Linked DNA regions of Macaca fascicularis. The protein of the gene in region 2 purifies or fractionates together with the protein of the main gene of each other region. This does not show direct contact. Links are inferred from orthologs where the notes say so. Each region holds a gene or a part of one and is shown on either strand. Other genes may lie near its edges. The genes, in order: TWF1, CAPZA2, MTCL1, KIAA1671, CRACD, CNOT1 and WASHC5.

Evidence for each region.
Region 1: the proteins of CAPZA2 (region 2) and TWF1 purify together in Homo sapiens (affinity purification with mass spectrometry; 3 studies listed by BioGRID and IntAct, with this or other methods). This does not show direct contact. The link is inferred for Macaca fascicularis from reciprocal best matches to the Homo sapiens genes CAPZA2 and TWF1.
Region 3: the proteins of CAPZA2 (region 2) and MTCL1 purify together in Homo sapiens (affinity purification with mass spectrometry; 3 studies listed by BioGRID and IntAct, counting the BioPlex papers as one, with this or other methods). This does not show direct contact. The link is inferred for Macaca fascicularis from reciprocal best matches to the Homo sapiens genes CAPZA2 and MTCL1.
Region 4: the proteins of CAPZA2 (region 2) and KIAA1671 purify together in Homo sapiens (affinity purification with mass spectrometry; 3 studies listed by BioGRID and IntAct, counting the BioPlex papers as one, with this or other methods). This does not show direct contact. The link is inferred for Macaca fascicularis from reciprocal best matches to the Homo sapiens genes CAPZA2 and KIAA1671.
Region 5: the proteins of CAPZA2 (region 2) and CRACD purify together in Homo sapiens (affinity purification with mass spectrometry; 3 studies listed by BioGRID and IntAct, counting the BioPlex papers as one, with this or other methods). This does not show direct contact. The link is inferred for Macaca fascicularis from reciprocal best matches to the Homo sapiens genes CAPZA2 and CRACD.
Region 6: the proteins of CAPZA2 (region 2) and CNOT1 purify together in Homo sapiens (affinity purification with mass spectrometry; 3 studies listed by BioGRID and IntAct, counting the BioPlex papers as one, with this or other methods). This does not show direct contact. The link is inferred for Macaca fascicularis from reciprocal best matches to the Homo sapiens genes CAPZA2 and CNOT1.
Region 7: the proteins of CAPZA2 (region 2) and WASHC5 purify together in Homo sapiens (affinity purification with mass spectrometry; 3 studies listed by BioGRID and IntAct, counting the BioPlex papers as one, with this or other methods). This does not show direct contact. The link is inferred for Macaca fascicularis from reciprocal best matches to the Homo sapiens genes CAPZA2 and WASHC5.

The regions. Positions count from the first base shown.
Region 1 is NC_088385.1:50,420,161-50,424,384, reverse strand, and holds the start of TWF1 (twinfilin-1), read left to right. Parts: upstream 1-1,392; 5' UTR 1,393-1,464; coding exon 1,465-1,489; intron 1,490-3,131; coding exon 3,132-3,209; intron 3,210-3,467; exon of another isoform or gene 3,468-3,532; intron 3,533-4,224. UniProt on the Homo sapiens protein: Actin-binding protein involved in motile and morphological processes. Inhibits actin polymerization, likely by sequestering G-actin. By capping the barbed ends of filaments, it also regulates motility.
Region 2 is NC_088377.1:158,309,086-158,313,403, forward strand, and holds the start of CAPZA2 (F-actin-capping protein subunit alpha-2), read left to right. Parts: upstream 1-1,492; 5' UTR 1,493-1,582; coding exon 1,583-1,621; intron 1,622-4,318. UniProt on the Homo sapiens protein: F-actin-capping proteins bind in a Ca(2+)-independent manner to the fast growing ends of actin filaments (barbed end) thereby blocking the exchange of subunits at these ends.
Region 3 is NC_088392.1:77,249,805-77,253,894, forward strand, and holds the end of MTCL1 (microtubule cross-linking factor 1), read left to right. Parts: intron 1-2,398; coding exon 2,399-2,632; 3' UTR 2,633-3,569; downstream 3,570-4,090. UniProt on the Homo sapiens protein: Microtubule-associated factor involved in the late phase of epithelial polarization and microtubule dynamics regulation.
Region 4 is NC_088384.1:26,514,506-26,518,640, reverse strand, and holds the start of KIAA1671 (uncharacterized protein KIAA1671 homolog), read right to left. Parts: upstream 2,830-4,135; 5' UTR 2,743-2,829; intron 1-2,742.
Region 5 is NC_088379.1:77,533,631-77,537,178, reverse strand, and holds part of CRACD (capping protein-inhibiting regulator of actin dynamics), read left to right. Parts: intron 1-1,089; coding exon 1,090-1,280; intron 1,281-1,828; coding exon 1,829-1,991; intron 1,992-3,548. UniProt on the Homo sapiens protein: Involved in epithelial cell integrity by acting on the maintenance of the actin cytoskeleton. Positively regulates the actin polymerization, by inhibiting the interaction of actin-capping proteins with actin.
Region 6 is NC_088394.1:54,624,381-54,628,648, forward strand, and holds the end of CNOT1 (CCR4-NOT transcription complex subunit 1), read right to left. Parts: intron 3,375-4,268; coding exon 3,242-3,374; intron 1,146-3,241; coding exon 1,011-1,145; intron 853-1,010; coding exon 774-852; 3' UTR 513-773; downstream 1-512.
Region 7 is NC_088382.1:134,751,229-134,755,238, reverse strand, and holds the start of WASHC5 (WASH complex subunit 5), read left to right. Parts: upstream 1-1,183; 5' UTR 1,184-1,362; intron 1,363-1,579; 5' UTR 1,580-1,756; intron 1,757-4,010. UniProt on the Homo sapiens protein: Acts as a component of the WASH core complex that functions as a nucleation-promoting factor (NPF) at the surface of endosomes, where it recruits and activates the Arp2/3 complex to induce actin polymerization, playing a key role in the fission of tubules that serve as transport intermediates during endosome sorting.

The DNA.
Region 1 (4,224 bases), on a different chromosome or scaffold from region 2:
TTCTTTAGGACTGAGCATATGGTGGTCTTTCTCAAGGATGAATATAGAAGGATTATATTTTTCTCATCTGTACTCTTGAGCAACGCCAACTTCCTTAAGCAATTTCCCTGAGATATGAGGATATGAATCAGTTAAAACACTGCAAGTCAACTCTGCAATTTTCTCTCTGCTCAGCGATGTAGTAAAAAACTGGTAAATCAGGGCGAACCATTGTGTCAGGAAGAATTGGGTTAGAATGAAACTCCTCCCTACATTTCTTAAATCCATACAAGTCATAAAACTCAGATTTAGTTTATTACCGAATATAAGAATATGTCTGAAAAACAGAGCTCAGATAACAGGGAATAGACCATAACCTTGTTTGCTGTGATCCTTGTAAAGAAAAACAATTGCAGGCCTGTGAATTACTCATTAAAAATACATTGTATAGTATTTGAATAGTGATTAACTCGCACTTTTATTATTGACCTGAATAAATTACTTGTTCATTAGATTATAATTTTGTATATGTGTCACTTCAAGGCCCTAAAAATAAGAACTAGCTTCTCACCTAGTAGCAGTAGAGAAGCAGTACCAAAAAAACCCAAACTCCCCCCAAAACTAACATTACCTTTCAGGAACTATATGTTTGTAAAAGCCGGAATGGAAAAGATTTTAAAGTAATACCTGCTGTTACCTTACAAATCTGTCCAAGTGAATTTTGAATAATTATTGGATTAAATAATAAAATGCCAACCTAAAGCAGAGCAGGATTTGCAATGGTATAATCGACCACAGAGGGATACTCAAATCAGCTAATCTCTTAGTGGCTGTCTCTTTTTGGAGTGAAGAGAAAGATACAGTGAGTCTCTAAATGTGTCCAACTGAAAAGAAAAGTTAACAGTCTGAGATTAACTCAATTTAAAATCGTGGAAAAATTTGATGAAAGGCAGTCTATAATATATTCTTTCAAAACAGTGGAGCAAGGAGAAGGCTCTTCTACACTAAACGGTATCGATTATAGGAAGAGTAAACCAAGAAAGATAATGTGCACATCTTTTTTAAGCTGAAAATGCCTATTTGGTAAAATGATCATTTCTGTTTTAAAACATCCCTTCGCTGAGGCAGCGAATGGCGGCGTCGGCGCGATCTTCAGAGGGCAGACGTCGGAGCACGGAGCTGTGTAGATTCTGCGGCATTTCCCCCCAGGGAGAAGCGGGAGAGGCGGCGGCAAGAGCAGAAGTAGAACCCCAAACAGAGAGCTAAGGTCGCAAGGCCGGGGGTTGTACTGCAGCCCGACTGCCAGGAAGGGCGGTGGGGCGGTCGGGGCGCTCGGGCACTCAGTCAATCTCACGGGGCGGGGCGGCCCAGGGTCGCGGGCGGATGACGCGCCGGGACCGGCGGAGGAGCAGCCACTTCCTGGGGCCGCCGGCCGGGGCCGCTCGCCGCACTCAGCGCCGGAGCCGGGAACTAGCGGCCGCCGCCATGTCCCACCAGACCGGCATCCAAGGTAACAGAGCCCGGCGCGACCCGCAGGGAAGGGGCTCCCGGGAGGCTCGGAAGAGCCCGGAAGGCTGCAGGACGGGCAGGGCTGGAGTTTGGCCTGGACCTCCGGAAGTCGGTCTTGCGGGGCGAGCCGGGCCTCGGCGCCTCTCCGCGCTCTTGCTTCCCGGGCGCTCCCGGCCTGCGTCCTCCTCCATCCCGGTTCCTGCTGCCGCCACGTTGCAGATGGACTCGAAATTCGGGGGAGCGAAGGAAATTGGCTTTCGAGGCGGCCTGGTTGAAGGGGGCGTGCCTTCCACCGTCGCCGACATTAGCCCAACTTTCCCCCTTTTGGTCAGGTAGGGAAGAGCTGGGACAGTGGAGGCGACTGGGGCTTCCCTACGCTGTCGAGAGCCAGGCGAGTTTTCCTTTTCATGATCCAAAGGAGAATATTACAGGACTTTGATTACGAAAAGAAACATGCCAGAATCTTTCTCACATCAGTAGGGGTGCTTCCCAAAACTCTCCCGCACTTTCTCCCCAAATAGGAAAGTGAGAGTTGTTCTGAGAAATCTCGAGTGTAGCGTGTTTGTGTTTTGATCTTTTTCCTAGGTACTCCCCAAGGGAAACTGATCTGTATAGTTGCATGTAATGCGTGCAGACAGTTCAGTGTGCAGTTATATCTGACCTCCATTATTTCCTGGTTTGAAATTGGGCAGCCTGGAGGTGCTCACCTCATCAAGAGTCAAATAATATATCCCCGGGTTACTCGCGATCACTTAACGAGTTCTAGTATAAACTCAAGCTTTTACTGTTAATAGCGAGTATTTCTCCCAGATGAACACTTAATTGTATGTTTTGTTCTTAAAGATTTTTGACACCACGCCACATACCCCCTGCATGCACGCAGAAGCAAAATAGTATCAAATCTAAAAGCGTTGTTTTATTTATCCGCATTAATTTCGATATATAAATATGTCGTTATTGACTCTCATGCTTGAGCCTTATAGCAAGCACTACCTACTTACATAGTGGTTCTTGCTGCTAATAGACAACACAGGAACGAAATTAGAACGAAATCGAAGCTTTAATAGGAACACAAGCGTTAGTTATTAAATACATATTTATTCAATGATTTTAATCTAGCTTTTGAGAAATGCAAGTTAGAAAAATATAACCAGAATTAAGACAATGCATTTTACTGTCTTTTTCTTTAATCAAGTTAGGATATTTGATATTTACTGTTGTTTTTAACGGGAAAATACAGAAAGTGAATTGATGAAGGAGTGTCATAAGCTTGAAACTGAATTAGAGAATGAAAGCAGGTTTTCAATATTTTTCAAAGGAGCAATAAAAGTTTTTCAAAATTGTAATTTGCTCATTATTGGGTTTGAGTAACTTCAGTATATTCACCCCAGTGTTATTTCTGCACAGAATTATATAGCTAAAACAGATTAGAATTATTAACATACTTTTAAAATGCTAATATTTATATTTCTTAATTGTATACAGTCTTCATTATTTTATGCGGTAAAGTTTTATAATACTGATAATAAGGATGCTACATGCTCCAGATTTTTTCTTTGTGTTCTAATTAATTTTTTCAATATAGATAGGAAAGTATTTATATGTAAGTATAAAAAGTTTACTTTCTTTATCTTTTTCCACAGCGAGTGAAGATGTTAAAGAGATCTTTGCCAGAGCCAGAAATGGAAAGTACAGACTTCTGAAAATATCTATTGAAAATGGTTAGTTAAATATTTTAAAATATTTTTTGTTCCTGGATTAGTGGTGGCCGTTGTATTTTTAAACTTAGTGTGTGTTCTCAGTGATTTGAACTATTAATGTGAAGCAAGTTCAAATCTTCCCTTACAGTAACTTGGATTCCTCATATTTTGTGCAGGTCCCTGTGGGCCCCTGATTTCCTTCTGAATTATGTGACTATCAGGGAAACAGAAAGATGTTTTTTGATGTGACTTCTTCCTCTTTTACTTTTTGTGTCTTAGTTTCTGCACCACAGTCCATTTCTAATGTCAGTGCTTCCATCTCTGGAATGGAAATCACTAAACAGGTGATTATCAAAAAAAAAAAGTTACTTGTGAATTATTCAATAAAGTTTGTTTTTAAATACAAACAAAGGATTTCAAACTCCCATTTACTCCATTTGATTGCAACCTTTGCTACAGAAATGATTATCACCCTTTCTTGTTTTGGGAAAGTTCTGAGAATATAACAAACTACAAATTGATCCTTTAAAAATAATTCTGTAAACAGGGAATCTGGTTGAGTGGGAGAATCTTTTAAATCAGGCAGATTTGAATTTGGACAATTACTACTGTTATAGCTACTCAGTCACAAATGAATATGTTAAAATATTCCAGCGGCCTAATTTCTTAAATATCTAAAAATATTTTGCTTTGGAAAAGTAACTTGTTCTTTCACAAACTGGAAGTAAATCTAATTTGTTTTCTGTTTTCTGCTTATGTATTAAAAGTACCACAATAGTTGGTAAAATATGCATTTGTTTACATATAACATTCAATAGGAATATATGTATATTGTAAAACAACATATTTTAAAAATACTGAGGTAAAATTTTTAATACCATCACTTCCTAAGTGACCAGTTAAGGATCTAAAATGGAAAAGTTAATCTAACTAGCATCTCTACAGAAGGAAAATGGCACTACTTCCTAAATTATTATTTTCTGGTTTTACTTTTTTGTTTTGTGAAAAGTTTTAGATAAGGAAAATTCCAAAGACT
Region 2 (4,318 bases):
CGCCACCACTCCAGGCTAATTTTTGTATTTTAGTAGAGATGGGGTTTCTCCATGTTGGCCAATCTGGTCACGAACTCCTGACCTCACATGATCTGCTGCCGAGACCTCCCAAAGTGCTGGGATTACCGGCGTGAGTCACCACGCCCGGCCCCAACTGTTCAATATATGTTTGTTTAATGAGTACAAAAATGAGCTTCTTGAGAACAGAAGTTTCTCTTTTTATTTCAATAGTTTTGGAGTACAGGTGGATTTTTGGTTACATGGGTAAGTCCTTCAGTGGTAATTTCTGAGATTTTAGTGCACCCATCACCTGAGCAGTGTACCCTGTACCCAATATGTAGTAATTTATCCCCTCCCCAGTCCCCAAAGTCCATTTTATCATTCTTATGCCTTTGCACACTAACAGCTTAGCTCCCACTTATAAGTGAGAACATAAAATATTTGGTTTCCCATTCCTGAGTTACTTCACTTAGAATAATGGCCTCCAGCTCCTTCCAAGTTGCTGCAAAAGGCATTATTTCGTTCCTTTTTATGGCTGAGTAGTATTCCATGATGTATATACCCACATTTGCTCTATCCACTCATTGGTTGATGGACACTTAGGTTGGTTCCATTTCTCTGTAATTGCGAATTGTGGTGCTATGAACAGGCGTGTCTAGCTTGTTTTTTTCTCCCTCAACACTATAGCCCCAGAGACTAACACAGTGCCCCGCACCCCGTTAAAGGACCAGAAAATATTTGTTGGATGAATAAAGGAATATATAAAGAGCAATCTTTCAATTATGGAGCGGGTCGTGTGTGTGTATTTTAATGAAAGCCGACTATTTAATTTTTTGTTTGTTTGTTTGTTTTTTGTTTTTTGTTTTTTTTTTGAGACAGAGTCTCGCTCTGCCGCCCAGGCTAGAGTGCAGTGGCGTGATCTTGGCTCACTGCAAGCTCCGCCTCCCGGGTTCACGCCATTCTCCTGCCTCAGCCTCCCGAGTAGCTGGGACTACAGGCGCCCGCCACCTCGCCCGGCTAGTTTTTTTGTATTTTTTAGTAGAGACGGGGTTTCACCGTGTCAGCCAGGATGGTCTCGATCTCCTGACCTCGTGATCCGCCCGTCTCGGCCTCCCAAAGTGCTGGGATTACAGGCTTGAGCCACCGCGCCCGGCTATTTAATATTTTTTTAAAAACAATGTTTAAAAAGCTTCTATTTGTCCACCTTTTCAGATTTTAGCTGGCAGAGTTCAAGACTTGATAGAAACATAACGAAGGGCTCAGAATGTACTCATCGCAGACTGAGCCCATATGGTCACTGTGGGGAGAGAACGTTACACTCACGATGCTAGCAAGCCTGCTGCAGGCGGCCCCGGGAGACAACGTCCCCCGCCCGGCCACCAGGCACCCGCGCACGCGCACAGCCGCGCTCAGTCCCCGAGGGCCGGGTCGAGGGAGGCGGGGCTCTCGGGGCGCGTGCGCGGCGACCTGAGCGGCGGGCCCCTCCCTTAGCGGGGGCGCGCGGCGCTGAGGACCGCACGGAAGCGGGGAAGTCAGGTGGCCGCTGCCGCCGCCGCCGCCGCGGTTTGTCGCCAGAAGGAAGATGGCGGATCTGGAGGAGCAGTTGTCTGATGAAGAGAAGGTAAGAGTCGTGGGGGTGGCGGCGCCGGCCGTCGGGAGCCGGCTCAGCCCGGGCGGGTGGGCCCAGAGTCTGGTCGCGGGGGATGGGCATTGGCTCGCAGCTGGCGGTGCCCTCGTCTGCCCTTCTTCCCCCATCCTTGCTGCGCCGAGTGCCTGCCCCTGTCCGTCACCCGAGGCCCCGCGCGGGGGCAGGTCTTTGCCAGGCCTGCTCGCTCCGCTCCTTGTAGGGTGTGTACTCCGAAAATAGGAAGCGGGAGCCGGGCGACGGCGGGCGGGGGCGCGGGCGCGGGGGAGGGCGGCGGCTGCCCGGGACTCTCTCCTGCTATCCGGCCGCGGAGCCTGCGCCGGGGGCCGGGGACCGGGGACGCAAAGGGGTCTGCGTCCGTGCCTGGGAGCGGCCCAAGGGCAGTGCCCAGCGCGGCGGCCTGGCCTGTGAGTGTAGCGGCGGGTGAGGGGGAAGGGAAAAATCGCTTAGGAAGCAGACCTTCACTTCTCCCTTCTACTTCCCCCTCCCCAAAACAAAACGCTTCCTTTTCTGATTCTCTACGGTTTATCCCTTTTTTTTCCCTTTCCCTATGGAGGCCTCTCTCTCTCCCTCTCTCTTTCGTTTCATGGCTCTAGCAGTAAGCTTTGCAGCTCCCATGTTCCCCGGGAGGCAGCGGAGTTGCTCACAAAAAGACGACCCCCTCCCCATAGTTGTTTTCTGCCCACGTTGTCAGCATTCTCCCCGGGGGTCGATTTGGTGTCACGTCACCTTCCTGCTAGGACTTCTTCCGAGAGGGGAAATTGTTCTACTCCTTTTACTGTATGTCAGATGCTGTGACAGCAGTGGAACCAGATGAACTACTTAAGTTCTCAGATATTTAAAAGGAGCAATGGAATAATTCATTGAACTGCTGCTCTCTTAATTCGCCCCTTTCGTTTGGCTTTCGTGAACGTCCCATTCCTGAGGGTGGTGGGATAGGGGAGAACCCTGCTAATTTTGACTGTTTCTCGGAAAGGACACTGACGTTTCTCAAACTTAGAAGTAACTGACAGAACATACGAGTGAGTTAGTTGTAGGGTTGGAAATGTCCACTCTTCGTTAAAGAGTGCTCCATTTTTAAATTTCAAAGCAGTACAGCCAATGGAGGAAAATACAGGTACATTTAGGTACGTTGTGGTGTTTAAGAAATCCTCGTGTAAGTCTAAGAATATTTTCATTTGGGACCCTCTGCTCTAGGTGTTTTTATATGCTGTGTTCTTGCACCGAAATAGAAGGTTCTGTCCCATTCCCAATGTGAATGGTCAGAAGTCAGCCTCATCTTTATTTTCGGAAATCTGTCTTTCTCTTGTGTTGTTTGGTGAAAGTGATAATACAACAACAAAATGGGGGCGAGCAACGTCTCCATAACCCACAGACCCAGTAGGCAGATCCCTGTATCCACAAAAGTTGCTATACAGTATTGAATGTATAATCTTGGTAAATAACCCTAAGTAGGTGACTGAAAATGTACAGGAGTGCACAAACGCATATTTAAAATTGAGTCGTGCTAAAAAGCTTAAAAAGAGATTGTCGTGTTTTTATTCTACCATTCTTAAGTGGTGATTAGTAGCTCAAGTGGCTAGAAATCTAGCTGAAGAGAGAATACTCAGTGTGGGAGTTAATAAGACCTGCCATGTGTTGTAAAGGCCTAAAATTAAAAAGTTTTTTAAAAATGAGATAACAAGATGCCTTATTATCCGGCACTCTCAGGGCACTAAGCTTCATAAAGAGGAATGAGGAGGTTCTATGTCTTAAAGCCTGCGCCGCCTAGTAGCAAAATGTTTTATGGTTAAATGAATGAAAATTCTAATTTGATTTTTGGTGTTTTGTAAGAATATTATGTAGATATTTTACATATAAATTTCATCACTATATTTACTAATTTAAAAACTGAGAAAACTTTTAGGTTAAATTCAAGTAACCAGTTAAGTGAAATTTTAACGTTCTTGTCAATTGAGATATCTAAAGGTTGTTTTCATTTTGGGGCAGGAGGATGTGTCCAGTATGGGATCAGAAAACAGAGAGGACTTAAAAGTGATATTTTGATATTACTCTTTCTACGCCTTATTGGTAATTTTCAAAAATAAGCTGTCAAGCTGGGCATGGTGGTTTGCACCTGTAATGCCAGCTACTCTGGATGCCAAGGTATGGAGGATTGCTTGAGCCCAGGAGTTGTAGACCAGCCTGGGCAACAAAGCGAGACCTCATCTCTAAAAAAAAAATACTAAGTTTTGAATACTTTTAAGTTTTTGAGATTTCCATTCTAGATTGCAAATCTGAGGAAGGGAAGCTGTTAAGATGTATCTAGTACTGTACTTTATATATGCTTGGCTCAGTTAGATCCATTCATTACTTAATTTGTTGTTGTAAGAGGTAGTTGTTCTATTTCCATTTCACAGATGAGTAGAGTGAGGTTCAAAAGCTTTAAGTAGTTCACCCAAGGACAGTCAAGATGAAGGTCTTGTTACATTATGCTCTCTTCTTTTTTTTTTTTGAGACAGAGTCCCCCTCTGTTGCCCAGCCTGGAGTGCAGTGGTGCAATCTCGGCTCACTGCAACCTGTGCCTCCTGGGCTCAAGCGATTCTCCTGACTCAGCCTGCTGAGTAGCTGGGATTACAGGCACGTGCTACCATGCCCAGCTAATTTTTGTATTTTTAGTAGAGGCGGGGTTTC
Region 3 (4,090 bases), on a different chromosome or scaffold from region 2:
ACTTTTGTACATTTGCAGCCAATTTGCTTTCAGAGAATTGAGTAGATACTGGCCAGGAGGGGACATCCTAGGCACAGGGGTCTTGCCTGAGGGGGTCTTTGGGCCCAGCCACCCAGGACTGGTTACCAACATTTTGCTTACATATGTGCACTGGCATGTGCTGAAATGAGGTGGGACCCTAATGCGATAAGGCTTTTTTTTCATTTTTCAACAATCATACCACAAGGAATAAACCCAAATATATCTTGTCCTTCCAAGTGAGCACCGTAGGTGACAGAGTAGATGCTCAATAGATATTTGTTGAATGAATAAAGAACAAAGTCATCCCCACTCCAGATATCTTGAGAACGTCTCTCAGAATTGCTTTCAGAGTCTGAGTCAAAGCACATGAGAAAAGATATACTTTGTTTTTGATCAAGGATGATATAGTCATTCACTCACCTCATCCACTGGCCTTAACTCGAAGTGTTAAGTACAAAAGTATCTGTTGTCAAATACAACAGACGTGTCCCCGTGAAAAAAATGACAAGGAACACAGGGGGAGGGCCATTTCCCAGAAACGTGCTACAGGTGCGGCATCCCAGGACAAGATGCCATGCAGCGACCACAGTGGCTTCTCAGGAAAGCACAGCATCATTTGCTTGTACACGCTGGCGTGTTACTAAGGAAAAGGTTCATTCCCTTGAATGCAGACTCACAACGTTTCTTCCTTCACAAGCAGAGGCTGGCAAAGGGGGTACTGAATGGTCTCATACAAAGCCTGCTCTTTAGCACCAGCCAGGAGGAACAGGATACAGTGGTGTCAGATAAACCGATGACAGCAGCTTCATCGACACACAACACACACAGAACAGATATACAATACACAACACACACACTACTCTTACAACAAGGGGAGCACAGACACAAAACAGATACAGATTTCCCAAACCGTGTGTCCCAGCCAAGCACTGTGGGCTGTGGTGAGATGACACAGGAGCACCCTGAGTTAGTCTGCATCTTGGGGGCTGGTGGAGTTTTAACTGGAGAGGTGTTTCTGGTTGTCACGGTACTGTTAGCATAATGCTTTGGGAACAGAACCTTCTCCCTGTGGCCGTGTGAAGTGCCAGCCACAAAAGCAGCAAGGAGCATGAAGCATAGTCTCCAGGGCCACTGTTCCTTGTCTGCTGACCCCAGAGGGAGGCAGGGAAACCACTCGCCCCATTGCTCTTCTGGAAGCCTGTGGCTCCCACGCTCTCCTTGGGCCATGCTGTCTCTGCCATGTTCCATCTTCTCCCGAGTGACACTGCCCATTCCGTGCAGCCATCTGTCCCCCCGCTGCTGCTCCCCTGCACCACTGGCTGGGCTGTCCTCATCCTGGTCTTTTCAGTTGCTTGTCACATCTTTTTACATCCTCCAACTCACTTCCTTTCTTTGAGAGTCCTTGTTCTCTGTCATCCTTCCTGTGCCTTCCATTCAGTTCACCTCAGCGTCCAGTGTCTTGTCATTCCAGCCAGCGGGCTTCACGCTGGGCAGCTCAGTTTCCTCATGCCACAGCTTTTTACATTTCTGTGTATCAGCAAATTCCAAGTTTGGGTGTCCTGGTTTTGTAACATGTAGAGTAAGGACAAGGAACTCAACATTCTTTAAAAACAAAGTAGCTTGAGAATAAGGATTCTAGGTGATTTGCACATGGTTGAATGTGTCTTGCGTCACCTGTTCTCAGAACATTAGGATGCCTGAAACAAAACCACCAGTACATTCTGATTCTACTTTTTAAAATGCTGCTGTAATTGAAGAGTCATTAAAGAAAACTAGACCCAAATTAAAATTTCTGCCTGCAGCATCTTTGCCATGTTGTGGGAGTTTGTTTAATCTACTGCCAGTCAATTTCAAATAAACAGTAGCAGAGTTCGTTTAAGACGACTGCCATTGCTAACACAGCTGAATGAAATCAGAGGTCCCTTTGTGGGCTCCCAGTAGATCCAGGCCCTATAGGACCAGTTCATTTGTCCACTGTAGCTAAATAGATCATTCTAAAGGACCAAATGAAGAGATCTACCAGATGGGAATATGCTGAAGTGGCCTGTGGAGACCGCTGCCACAGTCACTCTGCCATGTCTTCTGTATACCCCGACCCAATTCTAAAGGAGCTTTGCAAGCTGACTCATCTCACAATATTGCTGTGTTTAATCATAACTGGTCTCTTCCCATTCATGTCACTGATCATGTCACATGTGTTGAATTCTTTATTATTTTAAGTTATTCTGCATGAGCATAGAACGTCGTTAATATTCACGAGTTGCCTGTGGTGTGTACTTCATCTCACTTGAGTCTGTTGAGAAGTGTGTTTGGGGGAATCATCCGCTGGTGACACTGCCGGTCTGAGTAACCCTGTCTCCCTTTCTCGGCTCTGAAGGAACTACCTTGTTCTGCACTAGCTCCATCCCTAGAGCCCTGCTTCTCCAGGCCCGAGAGACCAGCAAACCGTCGCCCTCCGTCCCGGTGGGCCCCACATTCCCCCACTGCCTCACAGCCTCAGTCACCCGGAGACCCGACGTCCTTGGAGGAGCATGGTGGCGAGGAGCCGCCCGAGGAGCAGCCACACCGTGATGCAAGCTTGCATGGATTATCACAGTATAATTCACTGTAATTTGCATAACCACACCATCGCCATGAACAAAACTCTGCCCAAAAGGAGAGATCTAGTTTTCTCAAGGTCAAAGAATGTTTTTTAAAAACACACAGCTGCTGAATGTTCAACCTGTGAAACTGAGATGTTTCTAGAATGAAACAGTAAATGTGCCTGTAATAACTTAATTTTTTTCATAGCTCAGAAAACTATTTTTGTCTCCATCTTTTTTACACACAGTATATTAAATGAAAAGGTAAATAAGGTATAAATAGATTTAAAAAATAAAAGTTTTAAAAAATGTACATTTTAAGAGATTCTGAACACCCTTGCTGTCAATACCTGACTGCCTCTCTGTTAAATTTACCCTGTTACATTTTGGTTCAGTTTATTTCCATGTTGAATTAGAGTGGATTAAGTTAATTTTATTTTGTCAGTGTTACTGTTTTTTAAGACTTTTTTAATGCTTCAGACTGTCTGATTCAGTGAACTTTTTGTAGCGAAAAAGCCATGAAGCTAGTAGACAAGACAGATATTCTGTATACTGGAGGGGATACAGGACGTTTTTGAAAAGGTACAAAGCCCTCAGTGGGCTTAGAAACTTCATTGTATGATCCTTGTATTATGCTACTTGGCTTGCACGTCTTCGGGTGCATGTATATACCGCTACTGTGTCCTCGCCATCACCTAAATGTGACTCAGTCTGTTCCACTGTAATATGTTGTGAATTTCCTTGTACTGTACTTTTATTGTTGGTCTTCTTGCATCGATGATCCAACAGCAACATTTTTAAATTATTGTGAAAAGATTAACTGGCAGTGTACAGAGTTTACTCCAAGTTTTCTTAAGGGAAAACACGACAAAAAGGCACGAGGATACCAAATGGAACCATGTGCTGGTGCCTCTGAGTCTGTATGAGACCGTGATGAAGTAGAAATAAAGCCCTTCCGAGATGGCAGCGTGTCTCGGGCTCTCATTTCACACACCCTCCATCTCTTCCTAAGGACTCGGATGGAAAGTTTTCCGTGGCTACAGGAATGAGGGAGAGAGATCATGGAAAGAGACAACAGCTGCTGATCTATCTTGCGGGGAATGCACGCTTTGGGTACCTGATCATGTTGCAGTTTTACTGTTCTCTGTAAGAGAGTCCTAGGATGGAGAGACGGCTTTATTGTTGAAAAGCCAAAACTGTGGTGTGGGCAGGGATGTGAGGAAACTGGTTACCTACAAGTCCGAGTGTGCCCGGCCTCTCTCCCGGCTTTGCTCGTTAGGAGAGAGGGAGTGGCCGGTAACGCCAGGAGAGGCCTTTCCACGGCTGATCCTGAGATGTCGCCCACCTCTCAGTGTTTGGTGGAGTAGAAGCCTACAAAGAAGTGAGGCTACTGAAGAGCCCAAAAAGAATGATTTCAGGCTGAAGCTTCTGGCTTTAATATTTCATTGAATGCTTCATTAACCCAACAGTTTTCTTCTTATCTAGAT
Region 4 (4,135 bases), on a different chromosome or scaffold from region 2:
TCACTGTGATCCACAGCACCCCACGCCCCAGGAATAAAGTCCAAACCACTAAGCATGGCTGGCCTGGCCCCAGTCAACACCCTAGGCACTCCCCTACCTCCAGGCTTCTGCACAAGCTGTTCCACTTCTGCAGTCCATAACACCAACCTCTTCCCACTGGCTGTAGAGAAAACTAAACTCTCTGACTCCCATCCCTCCTCACAGCCAAAGGCATCAGCCCCTCCTCCTATGATCATGGTTCTCCCCTTCCAGACAAGTGCCTATGTTCACAAAGACTTTCAGGGCATAAAATATCCCCTTAAGGATGTGGCTGCTAGCCTCATCTTTGATACAGTGTCTTGAAAGATTTGTTGAAGGAACAAATGATAAATAAATGAATGAATGCACATATAAAATATCCCTGTGAGGCCGGGCACGGTGGCTCACGCCTGTAATCCCAGCACTTTGGGAGGCCGAGGCGGGAGGATCACCTGAGGTCAGGAGTTTGAGACCAGCCTGGCCAACATGGTGAAACCCTGTCTCTACTAAAAATACAAAAATTAGCCAGGCAAAATGGCAGGCCTCTGTAATCCCAGCTGCTCCAGAGACTGAGGCAGGAGAATAGCTTGAACCCAGGAGGCGGAGGTTGCAGTGAGCCGAGATAACGCCATTGCACTCTAGCCTGGGCTACAGAGCAAGACTCCATCTCAAAAAACAAAAGAAAACAAAACAAACAAACAAACAAAAAACAGCCCGCAGGACCTCCATGGGGGCAGGGGCAGCTTCCAGCCTCTGAACCTAGGGTGAGAACTGTATCCCCAACATCCAGAATCAGTACTAGACTGCAGGGCAAGCTGACTGCTCCATAGCTGGAAAATAACTCTAAGAGGACAGATCCTGAGTTGCCCTAGGCCACACCATTTCTACAGTGCTCCTGACATAGGTGCTCAGTACATGCTGGTTGATGGAGCCAGCCAGTTCATATGCCCAGCTGAAATATATGCCCAGACACTGCATTGAAACTCTGCACTTCTCTTGGTTAATTGCACCCTTGACAAGCATGCAAATCCTTTAAAAGGATCCCCCTGCCAGAACCACCAAGATCTGGGCTTGTGTCTGTACAAATTCCTCAGGAACTGTCCCTGCCTGCAACAGGAAGGAGGGAGGCGCCAGAGTCTGGGGGTACACACGCATGTTTGTCCAGAAACCTTGATGGATTAGCAGAGGGAAAGCCAGGCCAAGGGAGAAGCCTTGTCCAAATGTCCTGGTTACTCATTAGCCAAACCTCAGAACTTCTCTCTGCAAGGGGGGATCAGAGGGGCAATTAACCCATTTGGAAGAAAGGTTAAGCTAAATAGCTCTCTAATCCTGCAGTTTCAAAGACAGCAAGTAGGGTTTCTGGAATCTTTAGATACTGTAAGGCAAGCACAGGGGATGGGGCATGGGAAAGGAGAGGCCATAGACTGAGGGAGGCACTGATACTTATAGAGCCCCTACCTGTTTCATACCCTTCATTCCGATCCATCCTGCCAGTCTCCTAGAAGAGGGAGGATGCAGACCCTCCTAGGCCAAGCTCATTTTGCCCAGAAGGTCCCTATCTGGACTCAGATAAGTGTTCTGCCCAAGGTCACAAAGAAGGTGCAAAGAAAGTGTTTTTCTTTGTGCAACAGGTACAGTCTTTTCCCTTCCAAAAAATAATGGCTGCTCCTGGCTACAGAAAGTTCAGTGCCGGCGGGCAGGAAGCCCTGGCCACCTAGGCATCGCGCGGCGGAGGTCACACGCCTGCTTCGGGACTGGACGAAGAGCAGGGTTTTAAGGCGCGGCGCCCCCACTCCCAGGCAACTGTGTGCCAGGAGGGCGTGAAAAGGTCTGGCTCTGGTGGGGGTCAACGAGCCGCTTCCCATCCCGGGAGCCCCACCCGTGAGACCGGGTGGGCCGCGCCGCCATCGGGGCGGGGATCACGCGGGCCTGCCTGGGAACAGGGGGACTGAGGCTTAATCTCATCAGGGCGCCTCCGCCCTGGAAAGACGAGCGGAGCGGGGCGCAGGCCAGGCCGGGAGGACGCGTCCAGAGCCTCCGCGTCCGAGGGGCCCCGCGCGCTGCCCTTCTCACGCCCCCCGAACCACCCCGCCGTCCTCCGGGCTCCCCTCGACCCAGACTCCATCTCGCTCGCCGCCCTAGCTTCCCACTGTCCACCTCCGGGGCCTCCAACCCGCACAGATGTCCAGACCCTAACAGCTTCAGGCTGAGTAACCCAGATCTCCAGCGATCCCTCAGCTCCCGGCCACCGGATCTCTCTGAATCCATTCGCAAGGCTCAGGCTAGCGTGGGAGGAGATTGATCCTCTCGCTCCCAGTTCTGAATCGCCCTCTGCCGTCACCCCTGACTGGGGATCCAGTGGGACCCCAGGCCTCCAGCGCCCGATCCCCTGCAGGGATCGACTCCCAAGTCGCCAACCGGGTGGCACGTGATCCATTGGCTGCCCTATGCGGGATCTTCCCGCGGGATCCACTCTCAAGTCTCGGGAGACGGATTCCCCGGCTCCCAAACCGGGATCCTCCCTCCCCGCAGACCCGGAGTCTGGGGAAATCCTCCCGGTCCCCGCCTCTTCCCCAGCCAACTTTGCCAACTTTTCTCCCGGGGCCTCGGCCGGGCAGAAACTTGGCGGCCCTCGCCCGCCGCCGTCACCCCCAGCTACCTCGCCGGCCGGGGACAGGAGGTGACCAGCCGGCCCCCATTCCCCACAGCCGCTGCGCAACCTACCGTGGAGCCACCGCCAGCCCGCGCCGCGCCGCCACCTGCCCGCAGCCCGCGGCACCTGCCCGCTGAGCCCGCAGCCCCGCGCAGCCTAGCCTGCTGGGGGCGGGGCCTCGGGTGGGGACGCGCCCCCGTCACCATGGGAACTGCGGCCGGCCGCGCCTGCGCGGAGGGGAACAGAGCCTGCAGGACCCGAGGCGGCAGTGGCGCCTGGGCCTGGGACCTCTCCGGCGGGTCAGAGGTCACGACTCGCTTGGACACCCCTGCCGGAAGCGCTCCCGCCCCTCGAGGCCCGACCCGGCTCTGTCCAACTGGGAACTTTGCTCCCGGTCCCCTCCCGCGTCCCCTGGATGTTCCCCAGTCACCAGCCAGGATTCCCCGCCACCGGCACCGACCCGCTGCCCAGCCGGCGACCCCGAAAGCCTAATGCAACCCAGAAATTAAGGAGGTGCTCCATAAATGTGGGCCCATTGACTTGCCTGGGCTGCTGGTGCCGGCCCGGGGGCGGGCAAGGTCTGTGCGCGGTGCTGGCGCCTCCTCGCGCCAAGCAAGGGGACTGCACCCGAGAGTTCCCTGGGGCGCCTACTGTGTGCGAATCCTCCTGCCATTGTGTTGTGGATTTGGGTTGTGGGGTAATGGGTATAGGAACTTGTGACAAGTTGAGAGAATCGTAGGAAGTCGCCTCTGAAAGAAAATACCTGTTCTGTTATCCTTGACTCATTTCATTCAGCAGATCTTTATTAAGCACCTGTTGTATACCGGGTCCTGGAGACCCAGTGGTGGGCAGCTGGCAAAATCCAGGCTGTTGTGCAGCTTACAGATATTGAAACAAATAATTTCGCGAGTATATCGAATTGACTCTGTGACATGTGCTCCTATGGGAAATGTACAGAGCATAAATAACTGGAGGACCTAAAATCAATGTGCCTTTATTATAAGCAAGATAGACCTCAATAAAGCTGAAAAAGAAAAGGATATCACAGGCTGTGCGCGGTGGCTTGTAATCCCAGCATTTTGGGAGACCGAGGCGGGTGGATCACCTGAGGTCATGAGTTTGAGACCAGCATGGCCAAAATTATGAAACCCCATCACTACTAAAAATTACAAAAATTAGCTGGGCGTGGTGGCGGATGCCTGTGATCCCAGCTACTCGGGAGGCTGAGGCAGGAGAATGGCTTGAACCCGGGACTTGGAGATTGCAGTGAGCCAAGATCGCACCACTGCACTCCAGCCTGGGCGACAGAGCAAGACTCCGTCTCAAAAGAAAAAGAAAGAAAGAGGCCGGGCGCGGTGGCTCAAGCCTGTAATCCCAGCACTTTGGGAGGCCGAGGCGGGTGGATCACGAGGTCAGGAGATCGAGACCATCCTTGCTAACATGGTGAAACCCCGTCTCTACTAA
Region 5 (3,548 bases), on a different chromosome or scaffold from region 2:
CTCCACTTTCTAGATTAGAAAACTAAAGCTTAGAGAAGTTAAGTAGTTTTTGTAAGATCATCAAAGATCAAATCCAGGTCTGCTCAATTTCAGAGCCTAGTGCTCAACCTGTCACACCAATCCCCTGTGAGGTATTCACCCCCAGTTACATAGGTGAGACAGTCAACCATAAGAAAAACAGAGACTGAAGTCAGAAGGCCTATGTTCTAGCTTCAGAAGCCTGTGTACTAACTGCTGAGTGACCATGAGCATGGCACTTGGTGGCTGGAGTACTCACATCTATTAAATGAGGGCAGTGGACCAAAATCATGGGCTTCCCACAGTGTTCCTCAGCTGCTCCATTAGGCAGAGTGGTGCCCCTTTTTCATCTTTCCAACTTTGGAGTTCCACGTAGTATGTTCTTTGAGGGGAAAACCATGGTTCCATGGCTAAAAATAAATTTCATTTAAAGCAGTTAATTAGGGCCGGGTGCAATGGCTCACGCTTGTAATTGTAGCACCTTGGGAGGCCAAGGCAGGTGGATCACTTAAGCTCAGGAGTTCAAGACCAGCCTGGCCAACATGGTGAAACCACGTCTCTACCAAAAATACAACAATTTGCCAGGTGTGGTTGCGGGCACCTGTAATCCTAGCTACTCGGGAGGTTGAGGCAGGAGAATTGCCTGAACCCAGGAGGCAGAAGTTGCAGTGTGCCAAGATTGTACCACTGCTACAGCCTAGGTGACAGTTCAAAACTCTGTCTCAAAAAAAAAAAGGAATGAATCAAAAAAAGAACAATGAACCAAATACCTATCTGGATCCCCTGGAGGCCTGAGATTTTATGACCCTGGAGATTTATTTTAGTTTTTTCTAACGGAGTAACTTCTTCCATTTCTAGGGAAGACAAATGCCCTTGTTTTTCTGATGATCAAACATGTTACCTTCCCACCCAGTGGAGCCACTCAGGCATCAGCACAGAGTTTGTGCTAGGAAGGGGCCAGCTGAATATGCCATAGGGTTATTAATATGTCACAAGTTTTAGGGGGTGAGGAACTGAGATAAGTCAGCAGTTAAGTTCACTGTAAACCGGCCTTTGTCTTGTTCCCTACAGAGAAGCCAATGCTTCAGAGCAGGCACTCCTTAGATGGCTCCAAACTTACAGAGAAAGTGGAAACTGCCCAGCCGCTTTGGATAACATTAGCACTGCAAAAGCAAAAGGGGTTTCGGGAGCAGCAGGCGACACGGGAGGAGAGGAAGCAAGCCAGAGAGGCCAAACAGGCAGAAAAGCTCTCCAAAGAAAATGTGAGTAGCCTGGGCTTTAGCTGTGATTTTGCCTTCCTCAGCTTAGCTCTCTTTTCAGTCACAAGGATACAAAACAAAAGGCTAGCTGGGCTGGTGGAAAGTACTTAGAGAGGACTGAGCAGTAAATAAACTGACCACCATTAAACCAGGGAAGCATTTTCAGTGTGAAATTGGATTTGATTTCTTTATACTCTTAGGTTAACCTGATTTGCCATAATCCATGATGTGCTTACAGCAGTGATATACAAGTTACGTGAGAAACAAACTTTTTGCAAGGAAACCAGGAGTCTTATTCCGTGGCCTGATGTTACAGTCAGTTTGGTGGGACTTTTCTGGGAAAGTAACTTTCCCTATTAGGCACACTGGCTCTGAGCTGCTCCCTCACCGGGAGCCATGGTTGAGCATACATGGCGCATACATGTAATCCAGCCCACCATTGGAAGCAGAGGTCAGGGGCTGGCAGGCAGAAGCCCAGAAGGCCTGCAGGGTCAGTCTTTCCATGTCTTAGGTTGAAAACATGCTTCCCATGACTGTCTCTGCCCATGCAGGTCAGTGTCAGCCCGCAGCCTGGAAGCAGCAGTGTCAGCAGAGCAGGTTCCCTGCACAAGTCCACTGCTCTGCCAGAAGAGAAGAGGCCCGAGACTGCAGTGTCCAGGCTTGAGCGCAGAGAACAGCTGAAAAAGGCCAACACTCTTCCTACGTCTGTGACAGGTAGAGAGCAGGTCCATTGTTTTGTAACTGTGGTTCCAGGTTTCTCTTTGTAGAGCGTGCTTTATATCCTACAGTGTAATGACTAGCAGAGCACCTCAAGCATTTCAAAGCACAGGCTGTCTGATAACCTCATTCATAAATGTTGACACTGATTAAGCTCTTGATAAAGACCACCAGGAACTCACCCACTATCAGTGATGTGTTGGTGAATACTTAACAGTTAGCTCTTGAGGGGGTAGAGAGACCTTTGTTTGGAGCATCTTCAATTTCTCTGTGTAAATAGAGAACCCTGGCCAGTTCAAAGCTGTTATACCAATATGATGTCAGCTGGCTCTCTACATTTGTGAACGTTTAGCACGGCAGTATGAGCCATCTCCAGCACCCTGTGCCTATATTCTGACAAAGTTGGGTTTATTAACTTACAGAAGAACCTTCTAAACAAGGGAAGAGACAAAATTATAATAGGACTTGGGGTAAAGGGTGAAGTTTAGGTAAAATTTAAATGGAGTAGCGTTTTAATAAGTCAGATCAAAGCCATGGTGTACATAAAGGAGATAATATGAAGACTGAGCTGAAAAGTGTGTTCAGGCTTCTGTTTCCTTTAAAACTACAAAGTTAAGATAAATGTTTGAAATGTTTGAGGTCATGGATATCCAACTTACCCTGATTGATCATTACACATCATTTACATGTATTAAAATGCCACATGTACCCCCAAAATATATACAAGTATGGTGTGTGTGTGTGTGTGTGTGTGTGTGTGTGTATATATATATACACCAATTTTAAAAATACAGAAAAGAAAGATAAATGTGGGCCAGGTATGGTGGCTCATGCCTGGAATCCCATCACTTTGGGAGGCCAAGGCAGGCAGATTGCTTGAGCCCAGAAGTTGGAGATTAGCCTGGGCAACATGGCAAAACCCTGTCTCTACTAAAAATACAAAAATTAGCCAGGTGTGGTGGTGCATACCTGTAGTCCCACCTACTTGGGAGGCTGAGGTGGGAAGATTGCTTGAGCCCAGGAAGTGGAGGTTGCAGTGAGCCAAGATTGTGCCACTGCACTCCAGCCCGAGCGACAGTGTGTCTCAAAAACAACAAAAACAGAAAAGATAAATGTGTAAAATGTTGTATCTGAAAACTGCTACCCGGAGCTCTGCACCTGGGTTGGAAATGGAAACTGCATCTCTATGTCATGGTGACACTTGGCTCAGATGCTCCAGGCAAAAGTGAAATGGTCTGTTCTCACTGGTGTGATTTCACGCAGCAGGTTTCTGCTAGTCTGTGACTTTACAGAGTAAGGTTTCTCAGCACAGTGTCCTTGATGTTAATTAACAACAGCAGTTTTTATATGTTCATGACGTGTAAGAGATGTACACATTTAGAAAATATTCTTTATTTGGTTAAAAGGTAAAATGATGTAATATATCCAACTATCTTCTTATTACCAATCACTTGGAGGATGGATGACTCTGAACAGGCTCCCTCCCAGGGGTTAATAGGGCATCTGTTTTCCCCACTAGGCTCCATTATTCCCCAAAGGGCGTCTAATCTCTAG
Region 6 (4,268 bases), on a different chromosome or scaffold from region 2:
AACAATTAATGAGATTTGGTTCCCTTTCCTATATTCCCACTGTTTTTAAGTTTCAGAAGAGGGATGTAGGGGGTGGGCTTTAGGCCTGGTCTAGTTTCCCTTTATTATAAAGAGCTGACCCCCATCTCACGCGGCTGAGGTGTGTAATCCCCAAAATAAGTAAGATGGTACAAATGCAGTCAGCTTTGGAATGAGTTTGGGTAGAGAAAAACAGAAACTCATGGGATTCCAATTGTGAGCCCTTCCCATGTTCCCAGACATATCAAATTCTAGCACATCCACATTTTTAATAACTTAGTGATTTTTAAGGTCCCCTGTCCACATTAAAAAAATAAGTTACATAATATTCAAACTGGCATTTGCTATTCTTTGGGACACCAGGAATGTCAGAGGACATGGAGCTATGCCCTCAGACAAGTGCATGGCATCAGCTGCCTCTTTATTACAAGGTACCAGTTTATGTACTTGCCTTGGACACAGCTTGCACAAAGCCAAGAAGTTCCAGACAAAGGTTTTCTCTTTCATGTATTTACACAAGTTCAAAATGATATTCACAGCATCTTCTAAATTTTGGCCAAGAGTCAAAAAAATGCATTTAAACTTTGGAACGTGCCCACATAAGACAGGAGGCTGATCCCAACAGTAGTTGGGGCAGATACCCGCAAACCAAAGGGCTGGGAAAGTCAGGAAGAGCTGAAAGGATTCTTCAGTTTGTGAACTCGGTGCAGTGAGACCTCTAGGCTGACACACGTACAACGGAGATGCAGTTTCATCTAACTGGCACCTGTCCCTTCCATTACTTGCTGGGCCTGCTTCTGTCCCATGCAGCACTGTGCGACCGACTGGAATAACCTGAAGGATGAAGACAGTTACAAATCTGTGATTAAAGAGTAGGCCTAACAATACCCTGCATCTCATTCAACTACTAATCACTGACCCAACCTAGAGACAAATAAGGTTTTCAGTCTCCAGTCTCATTCCTAGACAATTAAAAATTACTTTGAACTCACTTTTCGATTTCTGGGGCACAGTGTACAAATTCATGGTTCCAGAACTTAAACGCTGGGTTTTTAATCAGCTCAATGAAGGTAATAAGAAGACCCCAAGGATGTGGCCTATTTACAATCAACCGTTCCAAGAGAACTCTGGGAAAGGGGAGAAAAGAGCTAGTTAATGCAGAGAAGAATACAAATTCATGATGATTCTTCCATTACCCTTTTTTCTAACTTCTCCCTGATTATTAAACCACAGGCAAAAGTTTTCACCTTTAGTAGTAAAGACAGGTGGATTAATCAATATACTCCAAATGGCATGGGATGGAATACCTGGGTTTGAACCTTGCTCTTAGCCCTAGAAGACTAAGTATTAATGTCAAGTGCAGATAATGGTATCTACCTCAGAACTGTTCAGAATAAGGGGTGATGGGGGAGAGGAAGCCACATAAAGCCCAGAGTACATGGCACACGAAGTTAGTACAAAAAGTAATTTCCAGAATAAGCTCCCAGGCCAGGCATAATGGCTCATGCCTGTAATCCCAGCACTTTGGGAGGCTGAGGCAGGTGGATCATCTGAGGTCAGGAGTTCAAGACCAACCTGGCCAACATAGTGAAACCACGTCTCTGCTACAAATACAAAAATTAGGCATGGTGGCACATGCCTGTAATCCCAGCAGTCGGAGGCTGAGGCAGGAGAATCACTTGAACCTGGTAGGTGGGAAGTTGTGGTGGGCCGAGATCATGCCACTATACTCCAGCCTAGGCGACAGAGACTCTGTCTCAAATAAATAAGCAAGCAAGCAAGCTCTCAATGAAAAGTAAGGAAATAGAAAATAATAATTCTAACACTGCAGGCTGGACGCGGTGGCTCACGCCTGTAATCCCAGCACTCTGGGAGGCTGAGACGGGTGGATCACAAGGTCAGGAATTCAAGACCAGCCTGGCCAAGATGGTGAAACCCCGTCTCTACTAAAAATGCAACAAATTAACCAGGCGTGGTGGCAGGTGCCTATAATCCCAGCTACTCAGGAGGCTGAGGCAGAGAATTGCTTGAACCCAGGAGGAAGAGGTTGTAGAGAGCCGACATTGAGGCACTGCACTCCAGCCTGGGCGACAAAGCGAGACTGTCTCAAAAGAATTCTAACATTGCTAGTGCATGTGTAAATTGGTAAAATTTTTCTGAATGCCAGTATTGGCTTTTATATCCTTTCACATACCAACTGTACATGAAGCATAACAAAGATTACAAGCCCAAGGAGACTTACTGCAGCTTTATATAAACAAAATGGATCATCATCATCTAAGCATCCAATAAGATATTAAATTTTAGTACACAAAGGAATACCATATTTAGCATCATAGGTATTAGGCAAATGAGCAAGTTTTAAGAGTCTAGTCCAATTTTTAAAGTGTGTGTGTGTGTGTGTGTATATATATATCACAATCTCTCTAATGCTATATATAGTCTAGGCAATCCGGCAACAGATTCCTAACTATTGTTATTTCCTGTTATTGCTACTGCTTTCAACCCAGAGGTAATGAGGAAAAGTCCAAGGTCCTTAACACAGTCTTCCATAGGCATGCATGATTTAGGACTGGTTATCACCACCAACTCAGAGAAACTCCTGACCTTTAATCAAAATGTGCCTTGTGGTGTAAACTACTTTTCATTTAAGCCATGATTACGATTTATAATTCTCTACTTGTGATACATGTTCATCAGAATGAGTATTAGGAGGGCAGCAACCATCCCCATTTTGCTCACAATTGTATCCCACACTTAATACATTATTGGACATGTAAAAGATTTTCACTGAAGGCCAGGTGCAGTGGCTCACACCTGTAATGCCAGCATTTTGGGAGGCTGAGGTGGGCGGATCACTTGAGGTCAGAAGTTCAAGACCAGCCTGGCCAACATGGTGAAACCCCGTCTCTACTAAAATACAAAAATTAGCTGGGCATGGTGGCGGGTGCCTGGAATCCCAGCTACTTGAGAGGCTAAGGCACGAGAAAGGTTGAACCTGGGAGGTGGAGGTTGCATTGAGCCAAGATCGCACCATTGCATTCCAGACTCAGTGACAGAGCAACACTCCATCTCCCAAAAAAACAAAAACACCCAAACCAACCAAACAATAGATTTTCACTGAACACTGAAAGCATAGAGAATTTAAAAAAAAAAAAAAAGAATTTAAGATGAAAGGAAGAAAACCCTTTTGAAGCATTTAAAAAATAAGCTGCTTTCTTACCTTGTGATCTGTTCTTGGATGGCTTCCGTATTGGCCTCTGCAAAAAGGTACAGCATGGTGCAACTGAAGTAGTGAGTGTGGCTATTTGGGTACCGGAGCTGATTTGCAATTGCATTCAAAAAGAGATAGCGACCTAGAAATTAAGAAACCTTGACTTAGGACTTAGACTGAAAGGCCAACATGGGAAAACAGTTCTAACTGGCTAGGGTTTGGGTTTCTGACAGAGGCTTTCAAATTAATCTTTGGTTTAAAGCAGTGGTTCTCGGGACCCCGAAGAGTTCTCATTTCTGTGAGTTTTATTTCAGTATTTTCCACATTAGAAATTAGGTTTTTTTAAATATTCATTTTTAAAAACAGACCCACTATATGCTAATATAAGTAACATGAACTATTTTCTGGTGACACTCATCACTACGTTTTTCTACATTTTGCAGATCTCTAAGTCTTGCTTAATAAAAGACAACTGGATTTTCATTTCTGCTTCTGTGTTCAACTTGTTACAGTATATTTCATGTAACCTCTGAGAAATTCAACTGTATACATGACAGAATAGACCCAAAAATGTAAATGTTGTTTTATGATGAAAACAGTTTTGGGCCGGGCGGGGTGGCTCACGCCTGTAATCCCAGCACTTTGGGAGGCTGAGCCAAGTGGATCACTTGAGATGAGGGGCTCAAGAACAGCCTGACCAACATGGTGAAACCCCATCTCTACTAAAAATACAGAAAATAAGCTGGGCGTGATGGCACGTGCCTGTAATCCCAGCTCCTCGGGGCTGAGGCAGGAGAATCGCTTGAACCCAGGAGGCGGAAGTTGTGGTGAGCCGATATTTAGCCACTGCCTTCCAGCCTGGGTAAGACAGCAAGACTCTATTGCTTTAAAAAACGGTTTTTGACCTCACAGCCCTCCTAAAAAGGTCTTGACACCCTAAGGGTACCCAGCACATTTTGAGAACCATTAATCTAAACTACATCGGAGTAAGTATTATCTTAATTTGGTTTGGTTGTCTGCCTCTGCTTGACATTAC
Region 7 (4,010 bases), on a different chromosome or scaffold from region 2:
TGGTTGGCATCTAGTGGGCAGAGGCCAGGGATACTCTCAAACGTCCTACAATACACAGGACAGCCCTCACCCCCACCCCACAGGAAAAAATTATCTGGCCTAAAATGTCAATAGCGCATCAGTTGAGAATAACTGATTTAAATCAATCTCTCTTGGATCCCTTCCCATGTAATAACACTGATCTTTTCTTCCCAATACCTATGATCTCCAAGAAAGTTTAGAACAAGTTGTGCATTTCCTGAGTTTTTTCTCTGCATGTTATTTATAGACAATATGCTGACTTCCTTTAAATCCACGGGAACCTTGTACAAGTCAGCCAGAGCTGCCTCTCCTTTTTCAGCATGCAAGGCTATACCCTTCTCTCTGAATCCTTCTCATACAATTGCTTGTTCCCTCCCCCATGCTACCATTATTCCTATCACATGCACATGTACACAACACACTCCCATTATGAAACTCATCACAACTATTTGCTCACATGTCTGCAGCTTCTTTACACTGAAAGCTCCTTAAACTAGAACCCTGACATATTCTATTGCATATAAAGCAGTTCTTCACACAAAATAGGGGACCAATAAAGATTTGGCGAGTTACAAAAATAACAACAGACATCATCATTTCTCGGTCACCTACAGAATGCCATAAACTGGTGTCCTGGCACTTCATTCTCCTTATCGCTAATTCTCACTGCAATCTACATAAGTGAAGAGGAAACTGAGGTCCAGAGAGTTTATTCAAACGACCTTCCCGTGGCCTTACTTTTAAAGTCAGTTCAAACCACATCTATTTGGATCAAAAATTCGTGATCTTGCCCTTACACACTTGTGGCTAACGGATGGAGAGATGGCGCCTCGGACAGGAGGGTAAACTGTCCCAGACTCACTACTGTGGCGTGAAAAGGGCCACAACCATAATCCAGGTCGACGAATTCCCGGCTCGGGGTCCCCGTGGAGTGTCCCTGAGGGAGGCGACAATTCCCGCCACCTTCCCCATTGCCGTCCCCCGCTTCTTCCCTACCTGGTTGTCCGAGTTGTCTCCGTCTGGTGGCACCCCAACTTTCCCTACTTGTACCCACCTCCTTTCCTCAGCCCCCTTCGCCTGTAGCTGAAAAGTGAGCGCGGGCTCTTGCGTCATCATCCGTCGCCGGCGAGTGGTCACATGATGCCCCTCCCTGCTCACCGCCGCTTCGGTCATGTGACCGTCCTGGAAGTCAGGGGCGGAAGCCCGGCTCTGACCCGTTCCAGGTCCGGGACTGGGGATAGAAGAGGACCGCCGCCGTGAGGGAGGGGTGGAACCTGGGTGCCGACTCCGCGCGCAACCTCCTGCCCTGCGCGTGCGCCGCTGGCGCGGCCCGGCTGACAGGTGAGTGGGGATGGGATGAGCGCGCCCCATTTTTGCATGGCCCCTTTCACCTCCCCGCTGGGCCGTGCTGGCCCTGGGGAGGTCTCCAGCGTCGCGTGCAGCCTGGACGGGGGACTCGGGATGGAGGGCTTAGGGGCTTTCTGGGGCGGGGGCTGCAGTCCAGCTCTTCGTCTCCGCTTAGGGGGAACTCATTTTGCACACTCCTTCCTCGCTTTAGGAAGCACCGTTCAGCTGGCTGCTTGGTCCGAATCTCATCCTTCCAAGTTTCCGGGAACACTGCAGTGTGGATGTCGTCGTTATTTCTCTCTTTGCTTTTGAGAAAACTGAAAGGCTAGTAGTGAGGACTTTTACAGCCTGACGGACCTGGATTTGCATTCTAGTTATGCCATGGGCTGTGAGTTTGGGCAAGTCATTGCTGCTCGCTGCGTCTTAATGCCTTCACCTGTGCTAATGCCAAAATCCTTTGCATTTGGCGGGGGGGGGGGGGGGGGGGAAATGTTCCCAAGGCCCTGATTCCTCTATGATCGGACAGGAAAAAGAAAAAAAGTCACAGAGTCGTAGAACTGGGTCTCCTGATTGCAAGCGCATGGAGCTCCCTCAAACATAGGTGAAGGGTAGTGAGGGAGAAGTTTTCCTGTCTTTGCGCACAACAAGGGACACCTTCTCTAATTGTCCTTCACCTGCCTTTCCCAGGATTTCAGGTTAAGCCTCATGTCAGAACTTTTCTGGAAAACATATGCAGCTTGCATTTATTTTGACCGACAACCATTATATTTTGTTTGTGATAATGGATTTGTGGAGATCAGTGCTTCCTTTATGGAACTGAGGTTTTGCGAAAGGCTAAATATAGACCTACCTTCTTTTGTCCTCTGAAGGGGGTAAACAGTGTTTGTCCACGACAATTCGATTTCCTTAAGAAATATTATTCTGCACGCTGGGTAATTGGTATAATGATGCCATGCCTCATTCTTGAAAGCATGTCTTTTGATTAGGATTACTTCCCAAACTGAAAATCACAGTTCCACGCCAAATTCTTAAAAATGAAGTTACTGGCGCTTGTAAAAGAAAATAAGAGAATATAGTGGGATCTCTGGATTTCATGCCGATAGTAATACAGCCTGTATTGAGAGAGCTGATCTTCAAGTTTTCTTAATCCCTAGCACGAAGAGAACCTCTGAAAGGATAATTTACCATAGCTTCTTCTACAGAGTTTAATTGGACCTAATTCTAAAGTGGTTTTTTAAGACTTAACTGAGTCTTAACACCTTGTAAAGCCATCCACATACCTCTTAGCTGCAACTTGATTAGGCATTTTTAATGATGGTTCTTAGATTCTGTTCTTCAGGACTAGTCCTTCAGCCAACGAGGGGGCTATTTAACAATTACTCTAGCCAAATTATATTTGTGCAAATTATGGAAATTCCATTTGTTACATGGAAAATATAACTAGTCCAGGTTAGGAGGTCTAGTACGTAAAATGTAACTAAGTGATTTCCTTCTTTCATTTAATCTTGTTTTAACTTCTTCCATCTTCAAAAACTTAGCAGGAGATGCTTGCATTATTAGAAATAGAAAACACAAGTGCCCTTCATGGGGCCAAACAGATTACAAGCAGTGAGTTCATTTCACTAAAAGTATATTAAATATAACATATTTTGCTTTCGCGTTAAAAATTTAATATAAAGTTTATATATTGAATTTTAGAAAGGCGATTTATGTAGGTAATAAAGACCCTACTTTATATTTGTTTTACTATTTGTTTTACTATTGCCAAACATATTTGATTATTATTATCCTTCTCATGTTCTTTTAAAGTTGTCTACAATGTAATTCTTGAGTAAAGACCTAAGGATTAAAATAAGAGATTGACACACGAAAGTCTTGATTTCTGTTGTTATCCCAGACTGAAGCTTCCCTGAATGTGTGCATGCAGGTGCTGAGTCTGTCTGTCCTTCTGTATGTTGGGAGAGAGTAGAGTAAAGGGAAGGTAATGTTACTTTGCTTTAAGATGTTTTTCCCAGGTCTACATTGTTGCCCTGTCATGGTATCCAAAATCAGGTAGCTCTTGGACCTGTTAATCATCGCTTGCCCTCCTCTTCATGAGTCTAGAGCAAGCTTGTCTAGCCTGAGGCCCACAGGCTGCATGTGGCCCAGAATGGCTTTGAATGTGGCCCAAGACAAATTTGTAAATTTGCTTAAAACATGAGTTTTTTTGTGTGTGTGTGTGTGTTTTTTTAAGCTCATCAGCTATTTTTGGTGTTAGTGTATTTTATGTGTGGCTCAGGACAATTCTTCTTCCACTATGGCCCAGGGAAGACAAAGATTGGACTCTCCTGGTGTAAAGTTTCATCCTACTTAGACCTTCTGGGTTAGTTTGGTGGTCTTCAGAGGGCTTTAGGAGGTGACTGTTTTGCCCATTGTCCATTATTTCCCTTTTCCCTCTCTCCTTTCCCAAGCCAGACCATCTCCATGGAGAAAATGAAATGAAATTATCTGAAATTCAGCCTGTTAGAGATCAGTGTGATTTAACAAGCAAGTATCACAGAGGAAACTAAAAGAACTTGTTAATAATGTATGCCTTAATGTGTATCAGAGGGTACCTTCATGAGAGTTCTAGACAGCTGTAGTGGCTTCTTGGCTCTCAGACG